Caenorhabditis elegans: one gene and its partners. The protein of the gene in region 1 purifies or fractionates together with the protein of each later gene. This does not show direct contact. Each region holds a gene or a part of one and is shown on either strand. Other genes may lie near its edges.

Region 1 (8,322 bases):
TTGCTGCGTCAGTTACCCAAGTACCATTTTGATGTGTCGGAACCAGATTCCTTCACGAAGTGGTGGGCTCGGCACAAGCTCACATTTACCGAAGATGGAGCTGAGCTCTCAAATCGCGAAAGAAATCGCATGTTGGTAGCTTGCCTCGAGGAATCGACGTTTCAACGATTTGTAGATTCACAACGTGATGTTGAGGATATCTATAGCGTTCCTTTCGAAGACACTATCAAAGCTCTTAGCAAGTCTTTCGGTTCTCAGCGTAGTCTGATGATTAGACGGCAGAGTTGTCTCCTTATCAGTCGAGCCTCTGGAGCGTCTATGGATCCGCTCGAGTATACGAACCTCGTTGGTGAGGCAGTTCTCGATGCGAAACTCTCGAATATGTCGACAGATGATTGGTCGATCTTTATCTTCTTACGTGGAATGGATGCGCCGGAGGACGCCCTAGCAAAGCGTTATTTGATGCAATATTGCGAACAGTTTGAGCGGAAAGATGAAAAACTCAAGTTATCCGACGTCCATGACGAATGGATCCGTTACATCCAAACGCAGCAGCAATCCAAAGTCATCACAGCAACTCCCGCCAGACATCCGAAATTCGAAGTAAACCAAGTTGATGCAGATGACAAGAAGAAGGATTCGAGAAAAGGAAACTACAGATCTCCGTATTGTTACAAGTGTAAAGTAGTCGGGCACGTTTCAAAAGACTGTCCTCAGAGTTCCACCAATTCAGGTGTGACCAATCGTAAGACTGAGCATTCTGAAGTGAATACGCTCGAGGTTGGGTCTGGAAGACAGACATCGCCTAGTCTTCGGTTGAACGTGGAAGGACAACAGATCGATTTCACTTTTGATACAGGCAGTGACATCACCCTTATCAGTGTCCAGAACTGGCAAAAGATCGGGAAACCGCATCTCGAAAAGGTCCACCACAAAATTTGCTGTGCCAATGGTACTGAAATCGCTGTCAAAGGTAGAGTGCTCGTATGGTTCAAAGTCAAAGGTGTCGAATACACTGAGTATGTGTACGTCTGGAACAGAAACAATAATCTGTTAGGCACCAGTTGGATGCGCCACTCGCCTCAAATGCGTGATGCTCTGGCCGTAATGGTTAATCATATATCCACTGTGGATAACTCGAAGCAAAATATGCACTCGTTCTCAAGGATTCCTACTGGATACAAAGATCGTGCTGAAAATGTTGAAAGACATGTTGTTGCATCTGCGCCGCGTAGTAGTAAGCGCCAGTATGTAAGATTTGCGCGCAATAAAGCGTTTCAGATTGGGCAATTGTGCCTTGCTCGGGTTCAAGGAGAGCACAATTTTGGCTGGATTTATGGAGTGGTTCAAAGACAATTGAACGGAGTACTCTATGAAGTACAGTTGGGATCGAGAATTCAAAGAATTCACACGAACCAACTCCGTCACATTTGCGGTCGCCGGAGCCGTGGGAATGACTATGCTTCATCATTCATCGAAAATCCGTGTAAATTGTCGCTCTTGGAAAACATTCCGCGCTCTAGTTGCCGCCAAAAATTTGTCGCTCAAGGTGTCCGTGGGGAGGGGAGGGAAGCTAATCCAGTTTTAGTTTCAGATTCTTCTGTTTTTGGTTTTAGTGCTCCAGATTTGTCAGCTTGTGATTCTGTTGGTTCTCGATCTGCTCGTGAAGTCGTCTCGTCGGTTGCCGGCAATGCTCGAAATGCTACTTGTGCAAATATAACTACGATTCATGTTACGGAGAGCAAGAGTTCGTTGAAGAAAAGCCACAGAAGACGTCGCCGTGTGGCAAAGAGTCGCCAATCATATACTTCTGGAAGTTCGCCAATCAAAGAAACCCATCTGGACCCCCTGCTGGAATCCGATGTTGCGAGTGACGGCGAGCGTTTCCAACCCGGCATCCTCCTGTGTCATTCTCTTCGACAGAGTCACCCACGACAAGTTGTGCGAGGATCAGCCCCAAACACTGATCATGCCTCCACTCGCCGCAGAGGTCGATATACCGCCTCTGGTCGTGATGCCCCTAGCCCAGGCATAATTTCTGGCTTTTTGTCATATAAGAGGGGAGATGTTGTGGACGGAACGTAAACCTGAACTTTATACAGACGTGACCTTTGGGTCATCATGAACTTATCGCGTAAGCGACCTCTCTTTATAATTCATTACTTCTTACACTTTCTTGTAATAAACTACTTCTCTCCTTGTCTCTCGCTCAATACACAACAAAGCTCAACGTCAAAAAATTGAGAAACAATAACTGGTGGAGGGGAGGGAGGGAAAAAGAAATCAGATACGGTCAATGATCTAAATGTTTGAAGAAAGATCAAGGAACAAGATTCTAAAATTATTCAATTTTTTCTCAAGTTTTTCAGAATTGTTTGACACAGAATAGAATAGCTTTTGGAAGAAAAAACATTGATGGATTTTCAGATGGATTTTCTATAGATTTTTAAAGATTGCATTTCTGCTGGGGTACTGTAGTTAGAGAGCTAAAGTATCTAGAGCAGCAATTGAAAATTAAATTTCATCACGAAAAACAGAACACCTAATAGTAATTTCAATTTATTTCGAAAATAGGAATTAAATTGGATAATATTTAACTTTCACTGTATAAAAAAAGTTGTAAAAGGGAATACTTCTGATTAATGTAGTAATTGCAATTGGTTGTAATATATCGTACGACACAGAAAACTACAACTACAACCAAATGAGAAAGAAAATAAAGAAAAGAATAAAGGATCAACTTGCTTCTTCTCTCTTCAACAATACAATTGCATGTGTTCGTCACGTAGTGTGTAAGTGTTCGTCTCGTGGCGGGAAGCCAACGGGATTCTTCGCCCAACACACAATCATAACCGATATAAATTCGAGGCACCAAGCTGAGAGTCAGATGGAAAAAGAAAGAGTGAGATGTAGAGAAAGAAGCGAGACTCGGAGTGCGCGGTAGAGTTCATCAGAGAGCATGTTAGGCAGAAGAGGGAGCAGGAGTGCCGTCGCACTAGCTCTCCGGCTTCATCCGACGGAGAAGAGAGCAGTTGAGAGAAGAAGAAAAACGAGGGGAAATAGAAGAGAGAGGACTCCTCTGCTGCTCCCACAGCCCAAATATTCTATTATTGCCCCTTTTCTTTCTGTTTCTTTGCTTCTTAGCATCTTTCTCTTCTGGTTTTTTTTCTCGCTTTCCTTCATTCCGCTACAAATCCTCCCGAATTTGAATTCAAATTTTTGGCATAAATTGGTATATGCAATATTCAACTTTACAGAGTACAATCGGCTCAATTTCGTAGTATTGCTCCGATTAGATCGGCGTCGTTTCGATGGCCGCCGTTCGATCCGGCCTGGTCGACATTTTTGTTCAGGGACAATGGCATCGTGTATTGGCTACTCTCGATCCAACTGCTATCACATTACAAGTAATTTTTTAATGATAAAATATTCCGAAAACTAGAAAACCACTGGAAATTATTGTAAAACAACTCATTTTTCGCGAAATTCTAAAAATAAATTGGATGGTTTCTAAAAACGAACAAAAATCTATATTTGAAACAATTATTGTTAAATAATTTAAATTTCGGTATAATAAAATATCATTCATTTTTCTAATGTGGAATGATACAAGTTGCTGAAAAATAGTGGTCGTTCTTATTAATACCAAAATGCGAAATTTTGCTATTCAAGACAAAAGAATACGGTACCGTGTCTCAACACGATCGAGCACGGGTTTCTGGCTCGACCCCTCGGTGTATTTTGTGCAAACACCGTCACGCGCAAATGCATACACTTTTTCAACGCGCTGCGTGAAAATTCCTCTTGCGATTTCAAAAAAATTTTCCCGCCATTTCAGCGTCCGATGGAGCGCGGGGTCGAGCCAGAACCTCGTATCGAGCAGTTATAAATAAATTTGTCGGAAAAGAATGTGCGCCTTTATGAAGTACAGTAGGCTCTAATCCTCACTATTTCGCAGACTGTTTCGTTTTAGAAAAAGCAGCTGCTGGAGATTGGGTCTGGAGATTACTGTAGGTTTTAAAGGCGCACACACATTTTTCACACCTTTAATCCTTTAATCTTTTTGTAAGTTTTCAGTCGTGTCGAGACCAGGCACCGTATTCTGGCGTCATAAAACATTTATTTTTTTACGAAATTACGTCGAACATAAGTTTTCTGATGCCCACGAACGAAATATATCATCTGAAGAGATCCATCTATGGAAACCAGAAACGGGAATGGGATCATATTACAAATAGTCTATGCTTCTTCTTCTTCTTTTCCTTTCGCCACATTTTGGCTCATTTTTCAAAAAAGGAGGCGAGTTGGCTATGAAAACTTATTAGTCGTTCTTGCTAGAAGAAAAAAGAAAGAATGGAATGAGGCTACTTAGAGATGAAGTTTGTATATGATACGACTTAAAAGGAGAAAACGGATGGAGAAAGGTATACTGTGACTACAATAATTATCTTCTTGGAGTCTATATGAACTCTTCGTTCCGACATATATTCTCAAGTATTAAAATGTGTATAACTCTTTTGCTTTCTTATCTTTCTCATCTCTGGTATGACAGTCCAACTGAAATTTTGGGAAAAGACAAAGAAAATATACCATTGCTTGTCAAAAAAGAAGTCGTCATGTCATCTACTCCCCCTTCTCCAAGTATTCCGTCAATCGAAGCTCCGGCTTTTGACAAATTGGTATGCCAGCTTGCATGATTTCATTTTACTCAGTCTCCTCCAAAAATTACATTAGCATGTGTGAATTTGTTTGAAATTGTTTAAAATTTGGTCGGGAAACGTGGAAGGGGATATTTATGAGCAAGGGAAGTGAAATCCAAAGAGAAATGGGTTCAAGCTGTGATGAATAAATATACTATTTTTCAGACAATGGAGCAGAATGAGGCTGAAGCAGAGAAACGGACAGTTCGAGTTGTGAAATATGATGGAAATGGATTAGGAATTTCAATTAAGGGAGGCAGAGACAACAACATGCCTATTGTGATCAGGTATGAATGAACTTGCGGAGATTTATACATCTCGTGTGCCATTTCGTGATTTTACGTCAATTTTGAAATTTTGATCTATGATAAATAATTTTTAGTTTTAATGACAAGGGCAATTCTCTAGAGAAAATTTTTATAATAACTGAAAAATGGAAGAATGGACTAGCAAACCTCGTACACAATCGTGTGTCGATTTACTCAGCGTGTGTACTCCCCGTGGAGAAGCATTTAATTTTTTCAGAAGATTTTACAGTTTTCGGTCAAAAACAGAAAGTATTTCCCGAATTATCCAAAATTAGGAATTTAAGGCGATAACTGTGAAATTGTTTGCAAAAATGTACACTTCTCCTCGGGCAGTACACACGATACGTAAATCGACACTTTTTTTTCTGAAATAGAATGTTTAATTTAGCAATTAAAGAACAAAATTAATTTCGATTGTAGCAAAATCTTCAAAGGAATGGCAGCGGATCAGGCTGGAGAACTATTTCTTGATGACGTCATTATCTCTGTGAATGGAGAAAACCTTCTCGATGCTTCACACGAAGAAGCTGTAAGAGCATTGAAACGAGCTGGACGGGTTGTTGACTTGCAAGTACAGTATAGAAGAGAGGATATGATGCATCGGGAAAATATTGTGGAAAATGTTGAATGGGATGATGATATTCGGGAACGAGTTAGAACAATTGGTTTAAAGCTTGCATATGTGGCAAGAGCTGGAATAGATGCAGATGCAGAAGGTAGAATTCTAGAAATGAGAAGTCCATCAGGAAGGTATTCCCTAGCAATGAGATGTTCAAGTAGTGAAGAAGCAGATGGATGGTTTGAAGCTTTACATGCCTGTACCACGTGTCTTCTGACTCAGGCACTGGCTCAAGTCAATATAATGCTCGGTAACAACCCCCAAGTGAGACATATGGGTTGGATTGCAGAACAAGTATCAGAAAATGGAATTTCAATGTGGAAACCTAAATTTATGACGCTTACGAATAGTGAGATCTTGTTCTATGAAGCTGTTCCACAGCTGAAAGCAGAATGGGCAGAGCCAAGACTAGTACGTCCTCTGGTGGCAACAAGAGTCGTTCAGACAAGTTCTCGAACTGCGCCAGTAATTAAAGGTCTCACTGATGTGATCTCTTTCCGTATGAGAACTGGAACTCAACAAGGTGTTCGGACACATACGATCCGGGTAGAAACTCATGCAGAACTGGCACGATGGGTTCGTGCAGTAGTGATCGGTGGATATGAAGCATGTCTTTCTACATCTCAAGTCTCTGCTCCTTGTCTTTGGCGAGGCGAATCATGCGAACTAATAGTTAATCTAGACAATGGAATATCATTACTTTCGTCGACTGGAGAGGTGAGCTCATTGGAATAATTTAGCAATAAGAAAGTGATAAACGTTTTCTAGATTAAAACAAAGATTTATAACATTTAGAGAAGCTACATTTTCTTAAAGCTTACAATTCAGGTACTGTGGCAACATTCGTTTGAAACGATTCGCGCCACCGGCGATGATGGTGGTCGTTTTCTCTGGGTCGATTTTGGACCACCACATGGTGAACAGGTAAAAATGGATTTTATTTTAACCTTAATTTCATACTTATAGAAAAAAAACGGATTTTTTTTGTGTAAAGTTTTTGAATAAAAAAAAGGATAGGCAACAAAACAATAAAAGCAGATCAACAAGTAATATTCAAAACAAAAGAAGCATAAATGAATGAAAAATTTAGGAATTGGATTTGCTAAATTCCGCAAAGCCAGTCGTGTTCATTCTTCATTCATTTCTCGCCACCAAGGTGTATCGATTAGGATTGTACGCGTGAAGCATCAAAAGGTTAGTTCATTGGAGCTCCATATGCATCAGGCATTCGCTCAATGGAGAATCTGTGATTGACAATGTACATGATCGGAACTCCTGGGATCTTTCGGATGCGGCGCTTCAGATCACGATCACAAGTGGCCACAATATAGCATTTATGCTGAAAATTATATTATTTTTTTCATTTTCAGATTCGTTATTTGTTCAAGTTTGCCAAACAAAAAGACTGCAGCAATACCACATTCCGTCTCCTGCCTCTTCTCGTCATAATAGATTTTATTCGTTTAAGATTTGTTAGATTTTATTAAATGAAAAACAATGAAAAATTATGAATAAACGAACCTGTGTAACTCTTTGAACCAAACAATCATCAGCATATGTTCCTTTGTGCTCACACTTCAGTCTCTGCACACGTGGATCTTTCAGAACTTTCAGAGCAATTTTGAATCTTCTCACTTTTTCCAATTCAGCCAATACACAGTCAGTTGCGTACACAATAGCTGAATTATTGTGATAAAATACAAGAAAACGAAAGAAAGTGTATGACTCACTTTTCGCGAACAGACAATCCATGAATCCTTGAAACATGTCAATGCGATTTTTGACGGCGAAATTCACAAAATTGGTATCGACAATAACGTGAAATGGTGGACCCAGCTGTGTATTGTATTTCATAAACATAGCGGATGAGATTTTTGGACTGAAATTATGAATTATTATTGTCTGGACACATATTCGTACGAATAAAACTTACGCACGGACCAATTTGAGTTCTTGTTCATCTACTTTCGGTGTTCTAATGACTCTTTGTTCTTCTTTTCTGAAATATTGCGTTTTAAATCAAGGTTATTCGATAAAATTATCGTTATCCTTACATTCTGTTGTCTGTCTTTTTGACAAGCTTGTTTACAGCGCTTTTTCTGGCGTTGGACTTCAAGCGTTTACCCATTTTCTGTAAATTAGAACATATATTTGTAAATTAGCACATATATTATCGAAGAAATTTGGAAAAAACGAAGAAAATCTTTAAAATAAGAATCTCGAACAAAATATCGAGACCCGAAGAACTCGGGGGATGTCCAATTGGGGGGATTACCAACTCGGGGGATTGGCCCCGCCCACAGAACCGTGGCTTGCAATACGCCCATTTCTGCAACTGCCGCACGGTTTTGAAACTGTATTTTTCTTGTTAATTCTCGCTCTATTGAGAAAAATACAGTTTCGAAACCGTGCGGCAGTTGCAGAAATGGGCGTATTGCAAGCCACGGTTCTGTGGGCGGGGCCAATCCCCCGAGTTGGTAATCCCCCCAATTGGACATCCCCAGAGTTCTTCGGGTCTCAAAATATCAGAAAAAATTTTTGCGAAAAAGTCCGCAGAGTTGGTGCTCCGTGTATGCACCAGTCAATGCATTTAATCTGACGCACAAACCAGCATTTCAAGAAATTGCATTCAATGTGCATCGCATATTCAAATTTCTGTCAGCTATTTATGTTTTTATTTTATTGCCCCGTTTCT
Region 2 (7,034 bases), on another chromosome or scaffold:
AAATTTTGAGATTTTTAGTGAAATTTTGAGATTTTTAGTGAAATTTTGAGATGTTTAGTGAAATTTTGAGATTTTTAGTGAAATTTTGAGATTTTTAGTGAAATTTTGAGATGTTTAGTGAAAATTTGAAATTTTTAGTGAAAATTAGGAATTTTTGTGTAATTTTGAGACTTTTATTGAAAAATTAGGATTTTTAGTGAAAATTTAAGATTTTCAGTAGAAAAATGACACTTTTCGCACTGGAGCGCACTTGCAACATGTGGTCGGCGGGACTTTGAATTTTCAGACGATTTTTGTCAATTTTAAGGGGTTTTTAGACGAATTTTCAGTGCAAAATTTGAAATTTAGGTTAAAGTTCGAATAATTGCAAAAAAAAACCGAAAAAAACGATTTTTTAAGTAAAAATCCATGTTTTCAAAGTTGGTGGCCTAGAAAACCAAAACTCGGCCACCAACTTCTCCTCATTGAATTACTGACGTCACCAGCTTCAAAATGAGCCCCAACATGCCCAGGTTCCGTTGATTTTGAACTTTGGAAGTTTTCGACACAGATGAAACCGGTGCTACAGTAACCCGCGTGGCGAGACCCAAAAATTTTCAAAATGCGCGGAACCAGGGCATGTTGGGGGTCATTTGAAAGCTGGAGACGTGGGCGATTCGAATTTTCGGGTCTTGAAGCGATTTTCTCACAGCTTTACGCTTAATTCCGAGCGTATGTGTTCGAATCGCGTTGATTAGGGATGATTTTCCGACATTCGGGATTCCGACGACCATTGCCTGATATTCTGTTTTGACGGTTCGATTGAAACGTGGCGTATTCTCCAAAGCGTCTAACATTGACAGCTTCACATCGTTCAGAGCTCTTGAAATTTGCAGTTTAGTAGGGAAATTTCGGCATTTTCCAGCAATTTTCTGCATTTTTCAGAATTTTTCAGAATTTTTATGCATTTTTCTGAATTTTTATGCATTTTTCAGAATTTTTCAGAATTTTTATGCATTTTTCTGAATTTTTATGCATTTTTCTGAATTTTTATGTATTTTTCTGAATTTTTATGCATTTTTCTGAATTTTTATGTATTTTTCTGAATTTTTATGTATTTTTCTGAATTTTTATGTATTTTTCTGAATTTTTATGTATTTTTCTGAATTTTTATGCATTTTTATGCTTTTTTCAGATTTTTTCAGAATTTTTATGCATTTTTCTGAATTTTTATGCATTTTTCAGAATTTTTATGCATTTTTCTGAATTTTTATGCATTTTTCAGAATTTTTATGCATTTTTCTGAATTTTTCAGCTCCAAAATCACCTTGGAAGCCGTTTTTTGCAGTCTGTGAATAAAACTTTTTGAACGCCCCGCTCGTAGTAATAATCCTCGATTTGGTGCCTGAAAATGGGGAATTTTTGAGAAAATTTCGGATTTTACAGCGTTTTTTCCGAAAAAAAGGTAAAAAGAATCGATTTTTCTTCATTTTTTATAAAAATCCGGTCGAATTTCACCCAGAAATCGTTAAAAAAGTGCAAAAAATCGCGCTAAAATAGCCAAAAATTCGAATTTCCCGCCACTAGTCCACTGGAGCGCACTTGCACTGCGCGGTCGGCGGGAATTCAAATTTTTAGGTGATTAAAGTGGATTTTTGTCGGAAAATCGCAATTTTTGACTAAATTCGTTGAGAAAAAGCCGAATTTCGTCGAAAAAATCCAAAATTTTTCGGAGAAATTCTGAAAATCTTGATTTTTCAAGCGTTTTTTCCGGATTTTTTCGAATTTTTCCGGGTTCTCACTTGTATTTCTTCATATCTATCAAGTCACACTTGTTCAGGACGAGAATATGCGGTCGAATAGCGTATAAATGTCGAAAAAACTGCTGATTTCGGCCGGTAATCGGGATTCTGGCGTCGTGGACCTGGAAAAAATGTCGATTTTTGCAATATTTCCCGATTTTTCAACTTTTATAGGCGGAAAAATTCACTAAAATTCTTACACCAGTTTTTTACACCAGTTTTTCGGTTTTTCAGCGTTTTTCCGGTGATTTTACAGATTTTCCAAAAAAAAAATCGTAAAAGTTCCATTTTCCATGCAAAACCTCAATTATCAAGTCGACGGATCGCAATTTCGCTTCCATTTTTTTCAATTGTACGGACATATGCATTGGAAACCACTGCCGATAGTCATATTGCGCGGGAAGTTCGAATTGTTGGCGAAATTCTGAAAAGAATTGCGATTTCCGCGCGGAAAACTGAGTAAATAATGGGGTTTTCGGGTACCTGGAGTGGAAATTCGATATGTTGTGTGCAGAAATCGACGAAAATTCATATTTTTTAACTGGAATTTGAAAAAAAATTGAGAAAAAATTGTGAAAACAATTTTTTCCTGTAAAAAATCAAAAAATAACCTGAAATTGCATGATTCGTACTCTGCGTCTCTGCTCTCTCATGCGTAGCAATGGAGCGCAATTGCAGAGTCAATTTTTAATAACTTTGGAAAATCCTAATTTTCACCATTTTTAAGGGATTTTTTACAATTGAAAATGCGAAAAACAAACAGAAAATGTTTTTAGCCGCATTTTGACACCAAAAACTACACAAATTACTCCCCAGAGAAATATAGATTTTTCGAGAAAAACTTGATTTCAAGAAAAACTGTGATTTTTGGAGTCTTCGTGATTTTTAGAGTTTTTCTAGTGGATTTTCGGTTTGCACCGGTATTAGTTTTAAAATGTTGGTATTCTCCTGAAAAATTCAAAAAAAAACTAACAATTTCCGGTGTTTTCTGGTATTTTCTCTGTAAAAATGGTTTTTTTTTGTTTAAATCTTATTTCTTTCATAATAAATGCTTTATTCAACCAACAAAGATGCTTCCAAACCCAATTTAATTTATTTCATCAGAATTTCCATTTCAAACACCCGCCAACAAGCGATTTCTCAATGGAGCGCGTTTGCATTGGCAACCTGGAACATTTTTATTTTCCAGAGCGGTTTTTCGTGAAAAACGTAAATTTTTCATTAAAATTTTCGATTTTTATAATTAAAATTGAATTCTGGAAGTGAGTTGCAGCATTTTGACCCCAAAAATCTAAAATTTGACCCGAAAATTATTGATTTTCAGCTAAAAACTCATTAAAACCGATTTATAGCCAATTTTTTCCTGAAATAAACTAATTTTTCCCACATTTTCCCACAATTTCTCACTTTTTCATTCGTTTTCCCCGGCTTTTCACGTATGTTTTCAATTCGGGCGAGCCAACTGCTTCCGAAATTTGTGTAACAACGGGCCGCCGCGTCGCCTCGTTTCTCTTTCGTTTTTACTCTAAAATTCGTATTTTTCTTCGCAATCTCTTGCTAAATAGCTCAAAAAATCGTGAAAATTGCTAATTTTCAGGTTTTAAACCGACGAAAAATCGATTTTTCCAAGAAAAACCGAGTTTTTCCACACCGAAAATGTCGGTTTCGAGCAACGATCCGGAGCAGAGGAATGGACGGGGCATGGCAAGCGGAAACAACGTGGATATGAGCCTATATCCTCCGTTTATTAAGCAGGTTTGTGGAAAAATTCGGAAAATTCGAGAAAAACGGATAATTTTGACGTTTTTCCCGAAAAATTTGGATGATTATCGATTTTTTGTGAAAAATTCCAAAAAAACCACAAAATTTGATGAAAATTTCCACTAATTTTTGTCCTAAAACCAATAAAATCATTGAATTTGCTGAAAAATTGCCGAAAAAATAAATAAAATCAAATTCCCCGCCACTAGTCCGCTGGAGCGCACTTGCTCCACGCGGTCGGCGGGAATTCAAATTTCCGTTTGATCTACGGCGGGAAACGACCAATTCCCGCCATTTTGTTAAAGATTTCAGCGAGAATTTTGAGTTTTTAGGGAAAAAACTGATTTTTTCGCAAAAAAAACCCTGAAATTTTTCAAGCTCGACGCAAAATTGCCCGATTACACACGAGAAGGTGACATCGAATATCCATTCGAAGAGATTACGGGTGTCGGAGACGAAAATAGGATACGAGGTGCGACAAAAATCCACGTTTTTCGATTTGGTGGCCTTCAAATCCAAAACTCGGCCACCAAACTGTTTTCATTGAATTCGCCACGTCAGCAGCTTTTGAATGACCCCCAACATGACCAGAATACGTTGATTTTGAGCTTTTGTAGTTTCGACACAGCTGAAACCGGTGCTACAGTACCCCGCGTGGCGAGACCCGAATTTTTCAAATTGCACGGAAACAGGGCATGATGGGGGTCATTTTGAAGCTGGAGACGTGAAAAACACGAATTTGTGTGAAAAAATCCATAAAAACCAAAATTTTTATTGAAAAATGCTAAAATACCAACAAAAAAAATTTTTGTGAAAAAAAAAATTTTTTCAGGAAATTGGAGTAACAAGTCGGATTATCTGCTAGCAGTAATTGGTTTCACAGCGGGAGTTGGTAAGAAAGCGAGAAATTTGAATTCCCGCCAAACCGCTAAACAACACGCGTTGGTGTACTAGCGGAGTGTCGTTGTTTTTCTTGTAAAAACGTTGATTTTCTGGGGGCTTTTTGAAGTTTTTTCGCATCAAATTGATGAAAATAGCAATTTTTAACTGCTTTTTCATGGAAAAAACCAATAATTTTCCCTAATTTTTAGGCCAGAAATCCGGAATTTTTACGATTTTTCGGCGAAAACAGGGGCCAAAGTCCACGATATCAGCAGATAATAATCTGACCATACGAAATGAGTACGTGCGAGAAATTGATAAGATTATAAATTGATAAGAGAGTGTGTGTGTTCTAAAGTTCTAACATCTCTTGTTTTGGGGGATTTTTTTTTGGTGAAACATTGGATATTTTTGGGATTTTCAGTGGAAAAATGGATAAAATATCGATTTTTCTGCAAAAAAAACTCGAAATTTCAATTTTTCAACGCATTTTTCACGTTGAAACCAGACAAAATCAGTGAAAAAATCGAATTTTCAGTAATTTCTCAATAGAGCGCACTTGCTTTATTTTTTCCAAAAAAATTAACTTTTCTATTGATTTTTTATAGTTTTTTCTTCTAAAAACGAATTTCAACACCAAAATTTTGGAAAAAAAAGTTTAAATTGTCATTTATTGGGTCTAAATGATTTGAAAAGCGAAAATCTCACATTTCTAGTAATTTTTTTCAAATTTTCAGTTGGAAATTGAGTTTTCCACTCATTTTTACCCTAAATTGGTTTTTTTTCGAACAAAATAGATTGATGGCCTAACTTTCGGGGGTTCTAGGCCACCAATCTGAAAATGATGGTTCCTAGCCATGTTTATCGATTTTTTTTTTGGAGTTTTTGGTTCAAATAATGAAAATAAAAACATTTTTAACTGGAAAATCACAAAAATTTCGGTTTAAATCCCTAAAATCTTCTAAAAATCGATATTTTCGTGACTTATGTGCTTCTACTCGTATTGATGACATAAAAACTGTATTTATTCACATTTTCAGCCTTAAATTGGCTGAAAATGTGAATAAATACCGTATTTCTGCCAACAATTTGACAATAGAGCACATTTGTCACTCGGAGATGCGGAAGCTATGCCCAAATTTTCTATTTTCCCGAAAACTCGTGTTTTTCATTTTTTTTTTTCCAGTGATTTTCACAGTTTTTCATTACGAAATTCGGCTTCTCCATCAATTTTCACCCCCGTAACCCGATTTTCAGCCAATTTGGACTAATTGTCGTAAGGTTCGGTGCCTAGCAGGTGTTTGCGTACTTTTGGGGCTACCGTACTCCTCGAAATTCAAATTTCAAACTGGCTTTTGGGAAAAAAGTCCAATAGCGGCAAAATAAACCGGAGAATTCGAACTTCAATGTGAAAATTCCTGAAATTTCCTGGAAAGTTCGAAAAAAAAACGTTTTTATCAACAAAAAATTAAAATTTCCAACTTTCAATATATTTTTCCAGCATTTTCATGCGAAAATTCAAATTCCCCGCAAATTTTCACCCCGGTGACTGTTTTTTCAGCCAAATTGTGCGAAATTTCGCAAAATTCGGTGTTTGCGTACTTTCGAAGCTACCGTACCCCCCTCGAAATTCAAATTTTTTCAATTAGGAATTTTTTTTTGTAAGATTTTAACGAAAAATTTGAATTTCCCAGTGAAAAATCGCGAAAATTTCTGGAAAATCTTGAAAAGAAATTTTTTTTTTTGGAAAATTTTTAATTTTTTTACAATTTTCTCTTCCTTTGCAGGAAGTTTCTGGAAATTCCCATTTCTAGTATTCCAACATGGCGGTGCAGCATTCCTTGTACCATATTTATGTATGTTATGCCTCGCCTCACTACCAATGTTCTTTATGGAAATGGTACTTGGACAGTTCTCCTCGTCGGCTGCGATTAGTGTTTGGAAGGTGGTTCCGTTGTTTAAGGTGAGAAATTTTGGCGGGTTTTAAGTGGGAAATTTGAATTTTTTGGGTGGAAATTATCCGGAAGCTCTGCAAATTGTGAAAAGTTTGAATTCGAAGAGAAAAAAAAATGTTTTTTCGCCAAAAAAAATATTTATTTGAAAATTTGCACTCTCCTCAGCAATCCTCACTATTAAATCTTCTAGATTTGAAAAAAAAATAAAAAGGAAATTTTATATCCCAAAATTACATGAACATTCTCTTTCAGAGTGACTTTTGTGCTCCTACGCAGATTTCTGGCATAAAAACTGTATTTATTCACATTTTCAGTCATAAATTGGGCTGAAAATTTGAATAAATATCGTATTTCTGCCAACAATTTGACAATAGAGCACATTTGTCACTCGGAGATGCGGAAGCTATGCCCAAATTTTTATTTTTCCCGGAAAAACATTGGATTTTCAGCATTTTCCGGCTAATTTCACAGATTTTCACTGCAAAATTCGACTTCTCCATCACTTTTTACCTCGGGAACCCGGTTCTCAGCCAATTTGGACTAACTGTCGTAAAATTCGATGCCAGTAGTACGCAAGCCTCGGTGTTTGCGTACTCTTGGGGCTACCGTACCCCTCAAAATTCAAAATTTGAGTTAGACGTCCGCAAAAAGGTTG
Region 3 (7,025 bases), on another chromosome or scaffold:
GCCAGTTTCCTATTTGGTTTGGTCTCTAGTACACGTGCCAATTTTATCATTTGGAAATAAGACGGCGCAATAATTTTGTGTTGCAATTTTTGTAGAAAAAACTTCTCAAAAAATGAGCTATGCGTGCGCGGGGTTAGATTCTTCTGAAAATGTCAATTCTAGTCAATTCTACAAATATTAAGCTAGTTTTGAAACTTTGACAATTATAAAAAAATTAATTATGGAATGTTTTATTTCCATCCTTTTTAGAGTATTAAGGTCGATTTCTTAGATTAAAGTCATACTGAAGCTTTACCTTTATCATTTTTATGATTCTCCGCATATCAACAAAACGCGCGGATTGACTTTCGTCAACTTACGAAATCTAAAATCTTTCTCCCTCACCTCTTCCTCCTCCCCAACCATCTCGTTGTTTCCCGTTGCTTCGATACTCTGCTTCTTAATATTCTCTGCAGCTAACTTTTTCTGTTGTTCCTGCTCTCGTTGTTGTTGCAACCAGGTGTTGGGTTCGTAGCTTTCTGGAGGTTGAGATTGATTATTACTTCGTTTGGTTGGTGGTGCACTTGGTGTTGACACGTCTTCATGACGACGGACATGCGACACTGGGAGACTAGATGACGATGGGACTGACGCCATCTGTAAATTTAAATGGGTTCAAGTTAGGGCTTGAAGTGAAAAAATCAATAACGAAAAGCGTTGTCGGGGGAAATTAGAGGAGTGTCGGGGATTTCAAAATGAAAGTTTTATTGCGAAACACGCCATGTAAACTCGAACACTCAAGCGACCTATATTTTTGCGGAGTGAAGTGTAAAAATTGTGAAACAATGATTTTTTTATTGTTTATGGTCACTACTTTGTTTTCTTTTGGAGGTTTTCGGATTCACTATAACTTTAGGAAATTCGATATTTTAGAAAATATTAGGAATTTTGAATTTATCAACAAAAAAATCAACTCAATCAATGAAGATTAAATAGAAGAATTTCCCATAGTTTTGGCAATTACTAACAATATCTATTTACATTTGAACTGTTAGTAATTGTTCTCTCGCAATTTTTGTAACGCGTACTTAAAGACACATGGATATTTTTGAATTGGGTCTCAAAGAGTCAGATTTAAATGTTATTCGTTTTTGTCTATTTTTGTGAAATTTTCAAAATATTTTTTCATTAATTGTGGAATGGAGGGATCATAAAAAATTCTCAGAACTTTTTCTGATGGCGAGACCCATAAGAGGAATTATGCAAAAAAGGTGCAAAACTACCATGAAATTATGTAAAAGATTCGGGTGCTCAATCAATTGTAATTAATAAAATCGGTGAAATACTTGTGAGCTCAGTTAAATTGAGATGAGCACTACAGTTTGTTTTATATTTTCTTGTTTATTTACTGAGTAGCGTCTCTTTGAATTTCGTAAAAAAGTGTACAGTGTTTGTTCGAATATGAGCAATATTTAGGTTCAAACAAAGTTAATTATAAAGGGTAAATAATATATTTCATTTCAATTTTAAATTATCAGAAAATTCGTCTTTTGTTCAGCGCTCCACTATTATGAAGTTTACCAAAAACAAAATATCTCACCTGTTATTATAATAAAGTTGTAGACTAGACGTTCCTGTATTGATTGATTTTGAGTATATGTTATGATAAAAATACTGGAGAAAACTGAAAAAAGACGGAAGTATAATTATCAGTGACCAAGGAAATTGGAAGAAACAGTGAGGTCAATCAGATATGAGTCAGCAGCGATTGAGACGCAGTGAAAAATGGGAAACGAGAGGAAGACATACAAAGGGCGAAGGTCGAATTTTTTATTTGGTTGATGGAAAATATTATTGTAGATAAATATTTTAAAATATCTACAAATTATTCATCTCCTTTTCGGTTGATCTTTGTGGATACAGAATTTTGAAATTAAAAAAAAACAATATAAATCTGGTTAACATCATAAAACAATGTCTATATTTGACTATTTTCTCTCCTTCTTGATCTTCCTGATCCTTTGCTTCGATTGGAGTTAGTTCGATGTAAAGGTCCCATTGATTTGGATCTTTTTTGACTTGAAGCTTCACTTGATTGTCTTCTACTTGCAACTGACGGCTGCCTTGATCCTAACCGATTTTCCATTATTGAATTCGTGTCAAGGAATCCAGATTGATATCTTCCAACGCTTGTAGCTCTTAGGGTATTATATGGACTTGCTACAAAAATGTTATTCGGAGATCGTCTATGAAGGGAAAGTGTGGAACATCCAGGAATTCTGAAATTATAGATTTACAGAATCTTGTTCCGGTTTGAATGAAGTTCTTACACTGGTGGATACAGTTTCTTTTCATCGTGTGGCTTAACTACATTAGACATTGCGTGTCGATTCTCAAGAACTGGGTACGCAGGTGGAGGTAGAGGTTGATATGGATCTTTCTCAAAGATCGGAGGTAGCGGCTGTAAACGTGTAACAACTAAAATGGGTACATTTTGATTTTGAATTGATACGCATTATTACCTACATTCTTCGTTCTAGTGAACTGTATCTAAGCCTTGTAAGGTTTCAAACACATTGCTGTTTCGGTTAATTTGGCAATTTACCAAAACTATGCCATTTTCAGAAATCTAAAATGTTTTAATAGTTTTTTTTAAATTATGGTACGATCATTTTGAGTTTGTTTAGACGTTAATTTGTTAGCTTTAATTGTTTATATTACTTTCATGAAATTTTCAAAGGTGTAGTCGCAACTTTTACAAGGACATGTGGGTTTCTAATTGAATTTGAATTTTCAATTAATCAAAAAGACTTACCACATAATGTGTTGTAATAGTCGTAAGCCTAGCAGGATCATTGTGCTTCTTTGTGTGGTGTAACGAGAGATCACAGAGCTTTGTTGTGCATAAAAAGTAGATTAATGAAATTATCAAAAACGAACATCCGAGTCCAAATAAAATAGGACCCGCAATTTGAATTGGTGGTGGTCGTATTCTTTGTTCGTATGGCCAAGTCCAGAATGGTGAAGTATAAAGGTATTTATATCCAAGAAGTGACATTAGTAGTCCTCCAATTAGGAGAAAAACGCCGAATGCTGTACAACAAATCAATGATGACGAGCCACGAAATTTTCTTTAAAAAATAATGCTTTTTTCAGGGTTTTTTTTTAAATTTTTGATAAAGTAACTTGATGTATATTTTCTGCGTCTCTGTTGAATTTTCGCGTTGAATATGATGTATTAGGACATACTCCATTAAATTATAATCTACGAGTTATTTAGTTGAGCTATTCAACCCTCATATTTCCAGCTTACAGTTTCAATTATCAAAAAACTAACGATGTTCTATATGGAAAAAATCCAAATGTTGCTGGATACAATATATCCCATCCTTTTGGATAATAATAGAAATATGGATCACGTTGAGCCATTGGTCCAAAATGAAGAACTCTTTGATTTCCAGTCCATTGTTGAGGATCAATCTCACTTGCACCAGCTTGAACCATTTCGTCTTTCTTATCCTTTGCAGTTACGTGAAGCTTGTCTTTAATATTTCGAAAATATTTATGAGTTTTTAGAATCAAATTGACATGAAAACCCCTTATATTTAATACAACAACTCTATATTCTGTGCTACATTCAGTACATCGTGGTGAGACCCATAAAGTCAATTTAAATTACTACTTCTCAGTATTGCTTTGATGGTTATAATTACTGTAGCTGGTATCGATTTATGGGCCGCTTGTACCATATTCTTTGAATTTTATTTTAATTGTAATTTTTAAAAATTTTGTAAGATGTCCGAAGATTTTCAACGACCTGTTAATCGATACCATATTACAGTAATTCGTCTTCGTGGCAAGACCTTTGTGTGTAAAATATAGGAAAAATCATCATCTTTAGACGTCTACGTAATATCCTTTTTTTAAAGCAAATTTCCACACAAAAACCCACTCTGAGCTCTCCGCTTCCGCTTTTGATGTGGTCGTTCAGCTTTGGATCCGAAGAATAAATGTGTGCGGACGCGCTCTTGATTCGACGGTGCCGCGCCGCGTCCTCTTTTACTTCCCATCTGAAACCAATCAGGTCCGGAAGAAGGAAAGGCTAAACTTTTCGGCACGACTCGATTGGACCTTGATTACAACTCTTTGAGCTCGTGCCGCAGAGCAGTATCAAACAGCCACATCTTTTCTCTCAATTTATTTTTCTAAATAGTTTGGTGTGTCAACTGGAGTGTTGGTTGTGGCAACAGATGTTTTCGTGGATTTCCTCATCGTGTGGATCATCTTTTATCAAACACTTACCATCTTGAATAATTATTTGAATAAGAAAATCTAGAACTGAATATAAATTGTATTATTGAGCAGGAATAAAAATAAAAGCTGGACGACTTTCTGTATTTTTCATCCGATTCACAGCTGGTGGCGGATATCTTGTCGCCGAGTGTTGTGCGGGCAAAACGGCCTCTAGTACCCGTACCCGCGTCATTATTTTGAAATTGAGATGCTGCTGTCAACGATTATTACAAACGAGAAGGAATCTCTCGTCTGAGCACACGGAAAAGTCTCTATGCATGTTCGCCCTATTGACAACGATGCGGAGGGCGACGCGTGCCGAAAATTTCTCTGTGTCTCTTCATACAGACAGTCCGCCCGTTGAGTTTGTCCCAATTTTAGCCTTTTTTCAGCTTTTAATTCTTTAAAATTCCAAATTTCGGCAAAATTCATCAATTTGAAAACGTTTTATTCAGTTGTTCATTGCCTTGATCTGTTAATTTAGCCGTTCTCATATTTTAAAAATTGTTTTATTTTTTTCAAAAACTTAAAAATATTTAAAATAATTATTTTAGGCATCAACTGGGGCAATGGCTTCTCTTGCTAGATCTGGAGGTTTTGCAGTCAAAGTGGTAAGTATTTTTTGAACAAATATGAAGAAAAACACTCCAATAATCTATTCAATTCGAGAAATAATCATATTTTGCGAGAAACGCGTTCGAAAATTTTGTTTAAAATGTATTTGTTTAAACTATTCTCGTTCCAAAACACTGGACGGTGTCGAAATGATTAAGATATCGATTACAGTTCTAAAATTTTGTCCAATAGTTTATAAATAGTTTTCTTTCAGATCAGCGGATCCCAGCAACATGTAAACTTTGTTGCCGCAACACCAGCCGCCGATAATGTAAGTATTTAAAGTTGCAGAATATTATTTTATTGTCTAGTATCCAGGTCGCTGCTTTCCGCGATGTTCCAGCTGAGTTCTCCACGGCTGAAGCTCGTCAAGCCGCTGTTAGTCACAGCACCGGAGGTGTCTTCACCAATGGACTTGCTGTCAAGGGAATCAATGGTATTTGAAATTGAATTTAATATATTAATTCATTAATTTTTAAGTCACCTCTCGCCGTTTGGCTCACACTGATGTGACATTCCCCGATATGTCAAACTATCGTCGTGATTCTACAAAGAACACTCAAGTGCCAGCCCGTGACACCGAGGATCAACGTCGTGCTCTTCCAACTGCTCTGTATTATGGAGGTTCGAATTATTTTTTATTCGGTCTAAACATTGTTTTATTACAGCTGGAGGAGTTCTATCTTTGTGGGCCGGAAAGGAAGTTGTACAGACTCTTGTTTCTTACAAAGTATGTTGAATTTCCATTACACCGTTTTTAAATTAATTTTTCCAGGCTATGGCAGCTGATCAACGTGCCTTGGCTTCGATCGAAATCAACATGGCTGATATTCCAGAAGGAAAAACAAAGACATTCGAATGGCGTGGAAAGCCAGTCTTCGTCAAACATCGTACCAAGGCTGAGATTGCCAAGGAAAAGGCCGTCCCTGTCGCCGATCTCCGTCATCCACAACATGACGACGAACGTGTGCAGAAAGATGAATGGTCCGTTGTCATTGGAGTGTGCACCCATCTTGGATGTGTCCCAATTGGTATGCAGTCTTTTTTCTCCTGAATTTTTGAAATCATATTTTGAATTTTCAGCCGATGCTGGAGATTACGGAGGTTATTACTGCCCTTGTCACGGATCTCACTACGACGCTTCTGGACGTATTAGAAAGGTAAGACATTTATTTGCTAAATGTAGTACAATCTGAAAAATTCAAATTTTATAATTTTTTTTCATAATTTATTGAAGAAAAGTTCGCGATTTGATATAATTAATGATAAATTGTAATTTTCTCTTAAAATTTTATAAAAAGAGAGATAATTTAAACAAAAACAAGAAGATATCTTCTGGAACGAACGAAAGTTCAGTCCTATCCTAACCGTTATTACGGTAAATTTTGGTATTTCTTAGTAAAGCTTTTGATAATTTTAAATAAATACCTAGTTTTTACAGTTTCTTTTTTTTTATTAAAAAAAACGGAATAAAAGAGTAGTAAATAAGTTCGCTTTTTTTGATGAAAATCAGTTTTTTTCCGAACGTAGGAAAAGTAATTAGACAATTCTTTTTTGAATTCCTAATTATTTACGTGAAAATCTTTATCATAAATTAAGCTCTCAGAATGTTGAAAATTTAAAAAAAGTTAAAACTTCAATAGCGGAAAAAAGTGTTTATATTTCTAAATTTGACATTAAAAATGTTTTCAAGTCACCCTAACGTTGATAAAATTCACAAAAATGTAAAGGTGATCTTTTTTTCAAAATCTTCATTTTTTCCAGGGACCAGCTCCATTGAATCTTCACGTACCAGCATACTCGTTCAAGGATGCCACCATCGTCATTGGATCGAGCTAAATATTCAGATTTTTTTGCAAAAGTTTCCCCGTCCCCACTTTGAAAACTCGCGTCTCCTAATCGAATGTGTGGTTTTCTCCTGTGAAAGTAGTTGTTCCCTTCTTTCTACGTCGTATTCTTGGCAGATAAAGTTTATTTTTCGTCCTATTTAGTGTTTGCCTGTTTTTATTATTTCCCCGTTTTTATCCATTTTTTCTAGGATCCCGAATGCACTCCTGTTCGAAATTCATTGCAGAATGAATAAACGTAATTTAAGAGGTTCTCTAGATGAGGCGGAGCATAACCAATACAAATAACCC

The links.
Region 2: the proteins of stn-1 (region 1) and snf-6 purify together in Caenorhabditis elegans (affinity purification with western blotting, with the first as the bait; one study listed by BioGRID). This does not show direct contact.
Region 3: the proteins of stn-1 (region 1) and islo-1 purify together in Caenorhabditis elegans (affinity purification with western blotting; one study listed by BioGRID). This does not show direct contact.

Annotation. Positions count from the first base shown.
Region 1 is NC_003279.8:9,498,011-9,506,332, forward strand, and holds stn-1 (Syntrophin-1), read left to right. Parts: upstream 1-3,257; 5' UTR 3,258-3,311; coding exon 3,312-3,407; intron 3,408-4,865; coding exon 4,866-4,987; intron 4,988-5,428; coding exon 5,429-6,344; intron 6,345-6,392; exon of another isoform or gene 6,393-6,455; coding exon 6,456-6,551; exon of another isoform or gene 6,552-6,717; coding exon 6,718-6,810; 3' UTR 6,811-6,821; exon of another isoform or gene 6,822-6,822; coding exon of another isoform or gene 6,823-6,966; intron 6,967-6,997; 3' UTR 6,998-7,148; downstream 7,149-8,322. Other genes in the region: F30A10.9 (PIN domain-containing protein), read right to left, coding at 6,823-6,966, 7,149-7,306, 7,358-7,506, 7,561-7,626, 7,682-7,755. UniProt on the Caenorhabditis elegans protein: Adapter protein that binds to and probably organizes the subcellular localization of a variety of membrane proteins. May link various receptors to the actin cytoskeleton and the dystrophin glycoprotein complex (DGC).
Region 2 is NC_003281.10:1,529,172-1,536,205, reverse strand, and holds the start of snf-6 (Sodium-dependent acetylcholine transporter), read left to right. Parts: upstream 1-3,378; 5' UTR 3,379-3,437; coding exon 3,438-3,536; intron 3,537-3,920; coding exon 3,921-4,014; intron 4,015-4,374; coding exon 4,375-4,434; intron 4,435-6,211; coding exon 6,212-6,387; intron 6,388-7,034. Other genes in the region: mtg-1 (CP-type G domain-containing protein), read right to left, coding at 690-861, 1,307-1,384, 1,782-1,903, 2,084-2,205, 2,265-2,313. UniProt on the Caenorhabditis elegans protein: Mediates sodium-dependent uptake of acetylcholine at neuromuscular junctions during periods of increased synaptic activity, may also prevent spillover to adjacent synaptic sites.
Region 3 is NC_003282.8:8,133,857-8,140,881, reverse strand, and holds islo-1 (Interactor with SLO-1), read right to left. Parts: upstream 4,494-7,025; 5' UTR 4,285-4,493; coding exon 4,282-4,284; intron 4,050-4,281; coding exon 3,932-4,049; intron 3,522-3,931; coding exon 3,317-3,521; intron 3,111-3,316; coding exon 2,795-3,110; intron 2,441-2,794; coding exon 2,310-2,440; intron 2,259-2,309; coding exon 1,958-2,258; 3' UTR 1,790-1,957; downstream 1-1,789. Other genes in the region: Mitogen-activated protein kinase pmk-3, read right to left, coding at 385-636; isp-1 (Cytochrome b-c1 complex subunit Rieske, mitochondrial), read left to right, coding at 4,842-4,883, 5,102-5,158, 5,206-5,323, 5,368-5,511, 5,556-5,617, 5,663-5,918, 5,971-6,047, 6,652-6,726.